3 linked regions of the Oryzias latipes genome follow. The protein of the gene in region 2 purifies or fractionates together with the protein of the main gene of each other region. This does not show direct contact. Links are inferred from orthologs where the notes say so. Each region holds a gene or a part of one and is shown on either strand. Other genes may lie near its edges.

Region 1 (4,157 bases), on a different chromosome or scaffold from region 2:
TGCATTGATAATTATGCTGCTTTGCTGCGATTTTCCTGCAGGGGTTTCAGGTCATGAGCAATGCAGGCGCTTGCAAATAGTGTTGCCTATAGCATAAAAAAAGGTCTTACATTGCACAATTGACCTACAATATATTGCTGACACATCACCAAAGCTGACAAAAGTTGATGCCTTTTGTGTGTACATATGTGCGGGTGTGTGTGTGCGTGTGTGTGTTTCATAGGGGGGAAGAAAGGTGCCAAAGCTGTTAGTGAAATAAAAAGTCTTCGGTTTTCAACTGAGTAATGTATAATACACAAACACAACGTACCACAGCTGTAAGGATCATTTACAGACCTTCACATTTCATTGAAATCCTATGTACACAAATAGCATGCTTCTTTAAGATAGCAATTTTGTGACTGAAAACATTACAAATTCTTTTTTTTTTCATAGCAGCAGGCATATCAGGAGAACTGCAAACATTTTTTGTTTGTTTTTGTAACTCCTTTGCAGAAAGAGTAAAAGCTTCAGCTTGAAGAACACACCTATTGGCTACTATCAAACTCAACCAAAGATTGACTTATAGAAGACTTAAAAATATAACTATATTTGTTCTTTATTAAGTTGGTTCACTTCATAAAAGGCTAAACACACCCTGAAAACAAGTCAATTGTAATCAAACAAAAATTTAAAACCCAAAGATCAAAGTATCTCAATATTTACAACACTCTGAGGTATGTTTAAGAAAAATGTGTACGTAGAGTTTCTTTAAAAATTAAGAAGTTATATTATCAATGTAATAACATGCACTGAAGAATATACAAGAAAAAAATAACCCAAAAAAAGCCTCACATGGATCTAATTTAACTTAGAAATAAGATGTAAAGGTAAAACTTCCTGCTGTTATCAATCCACTATCAAGAAACATCATTTTTTAATTTTATTTTATTTTAGCTATTTGTGATTTGATGTCTTTCATGTGTTCTAAATAAATATTGATAGGTAACAAGATCAAACAAACTTTAACGGCTGAAATCAACCTGTTTAGTCTTTTCAGCAGGAATGTGATGATGAATTTTCCACATGTGTTTCACTATCAGATAACCAGTCTAAAAAGCAGTGCGCTGAAACTATTCTGGCTGTTTTTTCCAAAGGGAAAGGAACAATCCTCTTTTTAAGCCTCATCAAAAAAAAAAAGACCCTGACCTTTTTTATTTGGGCATAACAGATAAAAAAAAAAAAACGCTGCAGAAAAGTCCAGTAATCCAAACGTACATTTAGACTAAAATGTATTTCTTTCTGTCCATAAGCCCCGGAAAGATGTCATGTTCAAATAACCATAATCTCATTAGGCCTAAATCAAAGGCTGTTTATCGTCATTCTTATGAAAACAATGAAGAATTTGTATAATAAGAATTCAATAAAGATAAAATACATAAACATGAGGTTACTGGAAATAAAACAAAGTGAAAACTGTAGGTTTTAAATAGTAAGACAGAAAATACATGTTTATAGGTTAACCTGATAATAAAAGTTCAGATTCCTAATTCAGCAGCAAATGTCATGTGTAGTGCACTGTATTTTATTGACAATATTTACAAATATGAGATAACAAAGAGAATCTTCTCACTTTTTTAAAATCGGTTTTGTATCTATTTTTTTAATCTCCACAGAAACAATCTGATTCAAGATCTAACAAAGATCACACTTTTTCTGTCTTAGTTTTTATATCACACATTTGGTGCTTTGAATTAAGGTGGAGCAAAATATTTTGCAAAAAACTTACTAAAAGCATGCAGTAAAAACTGGAAATTTATCCCCCCCTTCTTCTTTTTTTCTTCTTTCTTTTCGTCTGTTTAGATAAGTAACAAACATGGGTCAAAAATATTTCTGGATTCTTGTTTTAAAAACAGAAATTTAGTTCTTTATTTGTATTTTTCTTTTACAATTTCAACAGTTTTCTTCAACAATTAAAAATCTTTTTAAATACGCCCTTATTATTTATGACTAATGGTGCGCCCGTCCACCTCTTACTTAGAACTAAAACATCAAATGTATTTTGTTAATTTTAAATTATTTTGCTGCCGGACGTAACGTAAAGAAATAAACAGATGTACATTTCTTTTTGTTTCGTTTTTAGAAGGTGTGCTCTTAAAGTTGAGGCAGGTAATCTACAATTTTTATAGAAAAAGTGAAAAATATGTAAGAAATTGGAGCTAAAGCAAATATAATTTGCCTAATATTAGAATCAGGTCAGAAACTTTTTAAAAGTCTTTTACTATTAAAAAAACAGCATACAGATAAAGATAACACACAAATACACAAAACGTTACAGTGAAACTGACGCATTTCTCCGAATGTCATTTAAGGAGTTCTTATGAGGAAAAACTGTTGTATCAAGTTCAAGCACAGTGATGTGACCCAATCCCGGTTCGGTTTAGGCCCAAAAAGTTCTAGCATTACTTTCAGTCACACGCTGAAGCAGAAGGAACACATGAGCATCTCCTGCAGGGTTTTCCGCAGCTCCTGGCTGCGGTACGCGTAAATGAGCGGGTCGATGAGCGAGTTACAGATGATCAGAATGAGGAAAAGGTTAAAGTTTCGGAAGAAACAGTTGCAGAAGGGGCTAGTGGGGCAGGCCAGGGTGAGGATGAGGTGTAGGAAGAAAGGGCCCCAACATATAATGAAAACCCCGAGCAGGATGGTGAGCGTGATCGCTCCCTTCATGCTCGTGGACGGGCGCCTGCTCTTGTGGAAAGCCGTGATGCGCCGGGAGTGGACGTGCGCCAGGATGAACATGTGCAGGTAGAGTACGGCGTTGAACACCAGCGTGGTGAAGAAGAAGGTGATGAGGCACACGATGACAGCGTGGTCGGTGTCGTGCACGATGAAGAGGATGCTGGAGATGAGGCTGGCCAGCCACACCAGGACGATGATGATGACGGCGCGCTGGCTGGTCATGATGCTGTGGTAGCGCAGCGCGTAAAAGATGGTGATGTAGCGATCCGCGGCGATGGTGCACAGGAAAGACAGCGATGACACCACGGAGCTGCAGATCATCACGTCGATGACGTTGTCCAGGTGCCGCAGCATGCCGGGGTGCACGTCCAGCAGGCCGTGGTCAGTCAGGAGCATGACTATGGTTTCCACCACGTTGCTGACGCTCACCAGCATGTCGGACACGGCGAGGCAGCAGATGAAGTAGTACATTGGTGAGTGCAGGTTGCGGTTCCTGATTATTGCCAGAATGACCAGGATGTTTTCCACCAGGCTGATGAGTCCCAGAGTCAGGAACAGCTCCTGTGGGATGCGGATCTGAAAGCAGCCCAGCAGATTGCGCTCCCCAGCCGTTGAGTTTGTCTCGTTGTATTCTGCAATGTCAACAACAGGAGTAAACTCCATATGGAGGATAGAGGGGTAGTGGAACGAGCTGTTGGCCATTTCCACGAGCGTTTAAGGCAGTAAAATAAGTTTCAGGTTGACCGCCGGAGCTTCAGCTGCTGCGAGGTTTCGAAAAGTTTGGAGAAGTTGATCAGCATCAGTAGCTTCTCAGAGGCACAGACCGTCCAAGATCCAGAAAGAGTCTGTGGCCACGTGGAGAAATCCTCTTCACTTCATCCATGCAGTCAGTTGGTGGAAGAAACGCAAGAAAGTCGCTCCATGCTTCCAGATGGCGTCTGTGCGCTCTGGTTTCAGCAGCGCAGCTCCGTGGGAACAGAGCGGTTCCCCATCAGTCAGATCACTGCGGCTGTGTGAGCACCTGGAAGCAGGCAGAGAGGAGGGGACTGCTGTCTCTGCAGCTGCAGACTCTGTGACATGTTAGGATGTGAACACAGATGCTGAGGGACTTCAGTCAATCCCTCCTCTGAAGCTGACGTCAGCTGGTTCCGACCTCAGATGAGGACGCTGTTCTCCACAGGGATCTAACGTGACTTCAACAACATGCTTTGCTTTCTCTCATTCACCAAGTTGATAGATTTCACTTTACAGGTTGTTGAGCAATTCTGTCAACAAACAGAAAAGAGCAAACACACAATCTCCAATATGGTTTGGTTGGGAAATACACATTAAACGCTATCCAAAAAATAAAGGGACATTTAGATAAGCAGGAATCCACTTAACAACAGATTTGATCAGACCCAAAACGTTTTTTTAAAGATTAAAATGAATCTAAA
Region 2 (2,565 bases):
TTAGCACCAAACGTTCCCCTGTGAACAATTTCCAACTATGTTATGCTTGAAGGAAGGTTAAAAATGTCACCTTTTTTATTGTGTTTCCCTCTGAACAACCAACACTGTCCGCCTCGTTTGGCTCGGTTAGGTGGTAAAATCTCCATTCTCTTTAATCCGACTGTCAGCCTCTGATTGCTTGTGCTTTGCATCTAACCGGTTTGCCGTTTGCTGCTGTTTGTTTCTAACACTCCTCCGTTCAGCTCCTGTCTTCTCTGTATCGCCTCACTTTCTGCAGCTCTAGGTCCCGATTCCTGCTCTATTGGTGTGGAGGAATAACTGGTATGTAGGCTTTCCTGTCTGCTCTATTTCTTTGTGAGCTCCTCTGCTCCCTCTGTAGTGTTTCTTTAGACGGCTGTAGTGATGTCATAGCCTGAGTGTGTAGCTTTTTGTGACGTCAGTTAAAGGTGACCCCTAACCTGTGGGTGTCTCCTCAGGATCATCGGAGTCAACAGAAAGCCTGAAAAGTGAGAGCACCAACTGCTCCAGCCAGCCTCTTCTGTGTCCCACCATGAACCTCCATATGGAAGATGAACACCTGAACCCCTGACTGAAACCACCAACCCTCTCATTCCTGTCACTCAACATTTCCTGCCCTGATGTGGACAGAAAAGAGCGTTTTCCTTGATTTTGGAGGAAATTTGTTTCAGTGTTCACGTCGTAAGACTCCTGTGAAGATGCTTCGGACTGAGAAAGATGTGTTTTCTTAACATTTGAAAAGATTTCGCCAACTTTTTCTTTGTTTGTTTGCCTCAGTCAGTCAGACCAGCGCTCCTCTAATTCCACTACCTTTGACGGTGGTGCTTTAAAGCACACTTACTTTACATTTCCTGTACACATTTCTTGACACTAAAAGTAAAAAATAACTTATAAATACAGTTTGTGGTTAAATATTGTATCCAGTAGTGAATCATAAGTATAATTTAAGGCATTTTTGTTTAGCCCTTACAGGTTTATGACCTCCAAAAAAAACACCTTTTGAGTTCATTTTGAACAAAATTATTGAGAAATCATTCCTTTTAAAAAGTGTATTTGAAGAATTTCTGTGCTTTGCTGTTTTAAACATAGTCTGTTGAACCATTGTGTATCTATGTAAGATATTTACTAAAATCCTCTGCTTAAAAATGTATTCTTGCATAATATGTAGGAAAAAAACTGATAATGAAGTAACTATAACTTGCAGAATGTTTCACATTTTTATGACAAGAACTGCAGATTACCATCCTAACAGCTAAAATCAAAGATCGCTGAAGCCTGAAACCAGCTTATAGATAGATGCTCCACCTTCTCAAAAGCAGCACAGCCAGCGCGTTTGTCTTCGATGTGTCTGATCTCTGTCCAGTTTTTCTTTTGGTTTTTAAATGTTGCTGCAAAAACTGTTTGGTATGACATAGTGGCAAAGTTGGGGGTCGCATTCGTTTGGGCGGGGCAGCTTTATCTACTTTGGTCTTTTATGTGTAGCACCATGCATATAGATCTATGTGCCTTGAAATAATATGGCTGCCTGCCTGCTTGTGGAAACAGACATTAGTGTTCTTCATTCTTCAGTTTCAATACATAAATGGTTTCTGACGCTCATGTACAGAGCGTTTTCTTTTTTTGTGTGTAATCTTTATAATGCCCAGATAATAACAACGCATCTCATTAGTGTTAATGAATTAAACAAGTTAAACCATGAAGTTACTTTACTATGACGAGTTAAAAGTGATGCATTTAATATCTGTATCTAGTTCAGGTGCAATCTTGTAATATTTGTGTTACTGAAAGAAACCTTGCAGAGTTTGCATTGTAATGAGTTGGCTTGCATTTGCTTGTGAGTTGAGACCCCCCCCCCTTCTTTTCTGCTTTTTAATAATGCCCCCCCCTTTTTTTCTGTGCCATTTCAACTTGACACTGTGCCTTCCTGTTCTGACCACTGTCAACCTGGTATCCAGGATAACTCCTCAGTAGGTGGTGTCCTATCTCACCGTCTCTCTCTGTGTATAGACGCATGTGTAGAACAATAAAGAAACATTCAGTATCCCAACCAGACTTTTAATCTCTTTCCCTCAATAAGAGTTGTGATTATGCCTAAAGAATCTTTATTTAAAAAATTTTTAAGGCAAAAATCCAGATTAAAATGTGTGAAGTAAAAAAAAATACATTCTTAGTGAGATATTTCTACCAACTGGTGTGAAGATTCACAAGGTTTTAGTACTTCCTGAAGCTCTCTAGGAAAAGACAATACAACACCAAAAGATGGAGGCAAAAAGTCCAATTGTACACACTGTTTCATACAAATCCACAAATTATTTAACAAAAGGTGCAACTAACTGTACAAATACGATAAATGAAAAACAAAGTTTGTAGGACAAAACAGCTTTAAAAATTAAAACTTTGCATTAGACTGTATTGCTCTGTGGTCAAATAAAACTGTGTCATGAATTTATGCAGGTATTGTTTGAAATGCTATAAAAAAACGGTGATATGTTTAGGGCACACAACACGCCTCCCTCCCTGTAGTTGACATTCAGCTAATTATAATTG
Region 3 (3,632 bases), on a different chromosome or scaffold from region 2:
ATATGTCCAACACAAGAGGCTTTCAGCTCACATCTGTTTGCTCAGCTGTTGGACAGGACAAGTTTAAAAAAGAAAAGGTATAACAATGTAAATGGTGTACACTTGTATACCGCTTTACAGTCACAGACCCATTAACACGCCGGTGGCGGCTCCGCTGCCGAACACTGGCGCCAACCTTCCACCAGAGGCAAGGTAGGCTTCAGTGTCTTGCACAAGACACTTAGACACATGGGTGGACAAGGCGGGAATTGAACCTACAATTTTCCGTTCAGGGGTCGACTGCGCAACTGCGGCACCACAGCCGTCCTGTAATGTACAGCCTTCAGCAGCCATGTGACCTTCGTCTGTCATGTAGCCTCCTTGCCTCCTCAAGTGGTTTTCATCTCATCTCTGCCTCAAAGTTCCTTTGGGATTTGAGCAGCAGCACAGCTGAAACCTCTATTTTAACTTCCTCATAGATTCTATCATTTTTGTTCATACAATGAACGGTAAATTCTTCTGAAATGACCAGCGCCACTACAACATCCATATTTATTCAGTTCTTACAAGAAGCAGGATCAATAATGTCTGTGATGACATGGAAGTCTAGCGACAGGTAGACAAAATCCTACAGCATAACGCCTTTATTACAGATGCAGATACAAAGGCTTGGGGAGGGGGGCAAGGTTATTGGGAACATCCAGAAAAAAAAACTACAGTTAAATAAGGAGAACAAGGTGTGGGGGCAGAAGATCAGTCTGTAACAGATCAAGTGGGTGGGTGTTCTCCAGAATGTCATGAAGATGATGCTGATGACGAAGGTCTGGGGAATAAATGTCAATCTGGTGCCAGAAGAACCTCAGCTGCAGATGTAGCAAGCACCTCCTCCTCAGTGGACCAGCTCCAGCTGGCTGCTGGAGAAGGGCAGCACGCCGCTCACGTAGTAGGCGATGCCGAGTGAGAGGAGGGCAATGACCACCAGAAGCAGCAGGACCCTCCAGAAGCCCAGATCCTCCACGAACTCCTGCCAGGTGGTCCTGAAGCTGGACAGCACCCCCTCGCTGCTCTGCAGGTGGGGGTTCAGTAAGGAATGACTCTCCATGGCGCTGGCAGCAGAAGAAGAAAGACTTCAGACCAAAGAAATTGAGTCCTATGAGGTCACATGACCACTGAACTCTGTGCACATGGATGCGACACCCCCACATACACACTTCTGAATGTCATGCACCCCCATTACCTCTCACTGTCAGCCATCTGCATGGTCTCCAGCTTGGAGTGAGCCCCTCTGTTGAAGCCCTTCACTTCCTGCTCCTCCAGACCCTCCAGGAGGCGGATGGCGTCTTTGTTCACGCCCCGCCTCTTTGCCAGCACCAGGGGGGTGGAGCCATTGTGGTTACTGAAGCCAGGGATTAGACACAGAAACAGGGGAGGGTAAGTCAAACTGAAAAAAAAAATAAAAACATGCAGCATCCTTTCTGTAAAAATGGGCCATAATCCAATCCCACAATCCTTTGCTGTAACCAAATGAAACATTGGTTTTAGAGAGTGACCACAGACACGGACATGCTTGTAAAGGATTCTGTTTGAATCCTTCCTATGCTGTGGAACAAACAGCAGCGATGACAGAGAGCCACTAACCAAATGTCAATCTTCAGTCCATTGGACACCAGGAACTGGATGGTGTCCACATGGCCGCACAGATGCAGCGCTGTGTTCCCCTGGTAGTCTGTAGCGAGAAGGTCAGCGCCAAACTTGTGCAGGAGGCGACAGATGTCCACGTTTCCTCGCGCCGCAGCCAAGTGCAGGCCTGTGCGGCCACGGTTGTCGCGGATGTTGGGGTCGCATCCCGTTTCTAGGAGTTTCTTGGCGAAAGGCAGGTCCCCGTCGATGCAGGCCTGCAGCTGGGGCACGCTGGTCTGCGACGAGTCATTGATGAAGACATAGGACATGTCCGAGTGGGTGTCAGAAAATTCCAGCGTACCTGCAGGAAAACAAGCGGGAAACGGGATGAGAAACCTCAGCAACTCATTTAACCCTTGTGCTATCCTAGGCACTTTAACATTGGGAGTTGGGTCATCTAGACCCCACTAGACAGTGCGCTGAACCTTTTCTCTTCAATGATTTGTGGTCTTCACTGGTGTCCATGGATTACATGAAATCTTTCCACCTTTATCCACCTTTGTCATGGTAGGGATAACACGTCAATGTAAGGGTGGGGTCATCTAAGATAGCACAAGGGTTAAGGCTTCTGCAAACATCTGTGAAGCTTCTGTGAGACCCCCGTCCCATTCCAGAAGTTTCCACTCTACTAAATATTCCAGTCCACTCTCAGTGCAAATGGAACACAGAAGAAGACATTGGGAAGGACGACAACTCTGACTTCTTAAGTGAAAGGGAACATCTGGGTTAGTCTTGTACAAAGTTTGGATCCATCTCTTTGTTTGACCTTGTAAAAAATCAAGGCCACAGGATCTATAGATTATTCAAAAGCTGTCTTGCAGCAAATTAGGATGAATTATATTACAGCATCACTATGATTCTCCCTTAACCACAGCGCAGAGCTCCTCTGCTGATCAATCAAGAACATCTGACATGGGAGCAGAATGCTTCAAAAGCTGCTCCCCATCAACAGCTGATGTTAACATGATGTCAGTGAAAGTTTTGTGGTCAATCATCAGTTTCGGTGCTGCCTACCTCTGATGAACAGTGGGCGGGGCTTTTTACACTGGTGGTTTTAAGTGCAGTAAAGTTAGGCTATTAATCACAGCATGAAATACTGGAAACTGGATTAGAGTCTGTCACAATCGGACTACTGCCAGCCATTGTCTTCCACAGTCTTTCTATTATAGACCTTTGGGAAACTAGACATGAATACACCACCCAGCCTACTTACCGTGCAGTTATATGCAACCATGGCAAAAAGTTCGTTCATGGAGCCTTGGTTCTCCCTGTGGGTCTGATCGTGCTCTCTAATGCAGTTATGCAGATGACACTCAGCTTTGTGTAACTGTCACCAAACCATCATAGTCTATCAGACTCCCTGCTGCTCAGAGCAGCAGAACTCCTACATGAACTTTATTGAGTTCAAAAATGACAGACAGAAGTCTCTGTTATTGGGAACAAGAAAAAAAGAATGAAGATCAGTGATTTTTAGAGGAATGAAGATCAATCTTAACAGTCATGCCAAACTCAGAGCTGAGTATCTGTGTCACGTGGAATAATAATAATACTAATACATTTTAGGACTCTTAAGGCCACTGTTTTTTTCTGATTTGTTTTCTGATTTGAAATGGTTTATTTCAAGCAATCAAATAGAAATAATACACAAAAACAATATAATCATCAGTTATACATTCATACAGTAACTAATCAAACTTAGGATAATTAGACATAATTAATAAATATTGCTTGAAAGGGAGTGGAAAGAAGCGAACTTATATAATCCCACCCCGTTATACTATAACCATTTTATTACATGATTTATCAATATCCGGTTCCTAGGTTTTATCAGACAGAATTAACAATCATAAGGTATCAATAAAGCACATGCCAAAGATGAATTACTTAAGTACTACGTCAAAAATAACTATTTTAGAAATCAACATGGCAAATGCAGCATCTGAAATATATGCAAATTATGTTACTTTTAAAAG

The links. Proteins that work in one complex are often made in the same cells at the same time.
Region 1: the proteins of mgrn1 (region 2) and mc1r purify together in Homo sapiens (affinity purification with western blotting; 3 studies listed by BioGRID). This does not show direct contact. The link is inferred for Oryzias latipes from reciprocal best matches to the Homo sapiens genes MGRN1 and MC1R.
Region 3: the proteins of mgrn1 (region 2) and ankrd46 purify together in Homo sapiens (co-immunoprecipitation; 3 studies listed by BioGRID and IntAct, counting the BioPlex papers as one, with this or other methods). This does not show direct contact. The link is inferred for Oryzias latipes from reciprocal best matches to the Homo sapiens genes MGRN1 and ANKRD46.

What each region holds. Positions count from the first base shown.
Region 1 is NC_019861.2:22,128,556-22,132,712, reverse strand, and holds the end of mc1r (melanocyte-stimulating hormone receptor), read right to left. Parts: 5' UTR 3,424-4,157; coding exon 2,452-3,423; 3' UTR 501-2,451; downstream 1-500. UniProt on the Homo sapiens protein: Receptor for MSH (alpha, beta and gamma) and ACTH. The activity of this receptor is mediated by G proteins which activate adenylate cyclase.
Region 2 is NC_019866.2:8,153,197-8,155,761, forward strand, and holds the end of mgrn1 (E3 ubiquitin-protein ligase MGRN1), read left to right. Parts: intron 1-277; coding exon of another isoform or gene 278-318; exon of another isoform or gene 319-321; intron 322-476; coding exon 477-589; 3' UTR 590-2,065; downstream 2,066-2,565. UniProt on the Homo sapiens protein: E3 ubiquitin-protein ligase. Mediates monoubiquitination at multiple sites of TSG101 in the presence of UBE2D1, but not of UBE2G1, nor UBE2H. Plays a role in the regulation of endosome-to-lysosome trafficking.
Region 3 is NC_019876.2:21,534,655-21,538,286, forward strand, and holds the end of ankrd46 (ankyrin repeat domain-containing protein 46), read right to left. Parts: intron 1,961-3,632; 5' UTR 1,929-1,960; coding exon 1,618-1,928; intron 1,376-1,617; coding exon 1,217-1,375; intron 1,086-1,216; coding exon 869-1,085; 3' UTR 501-868; downstream 1-500.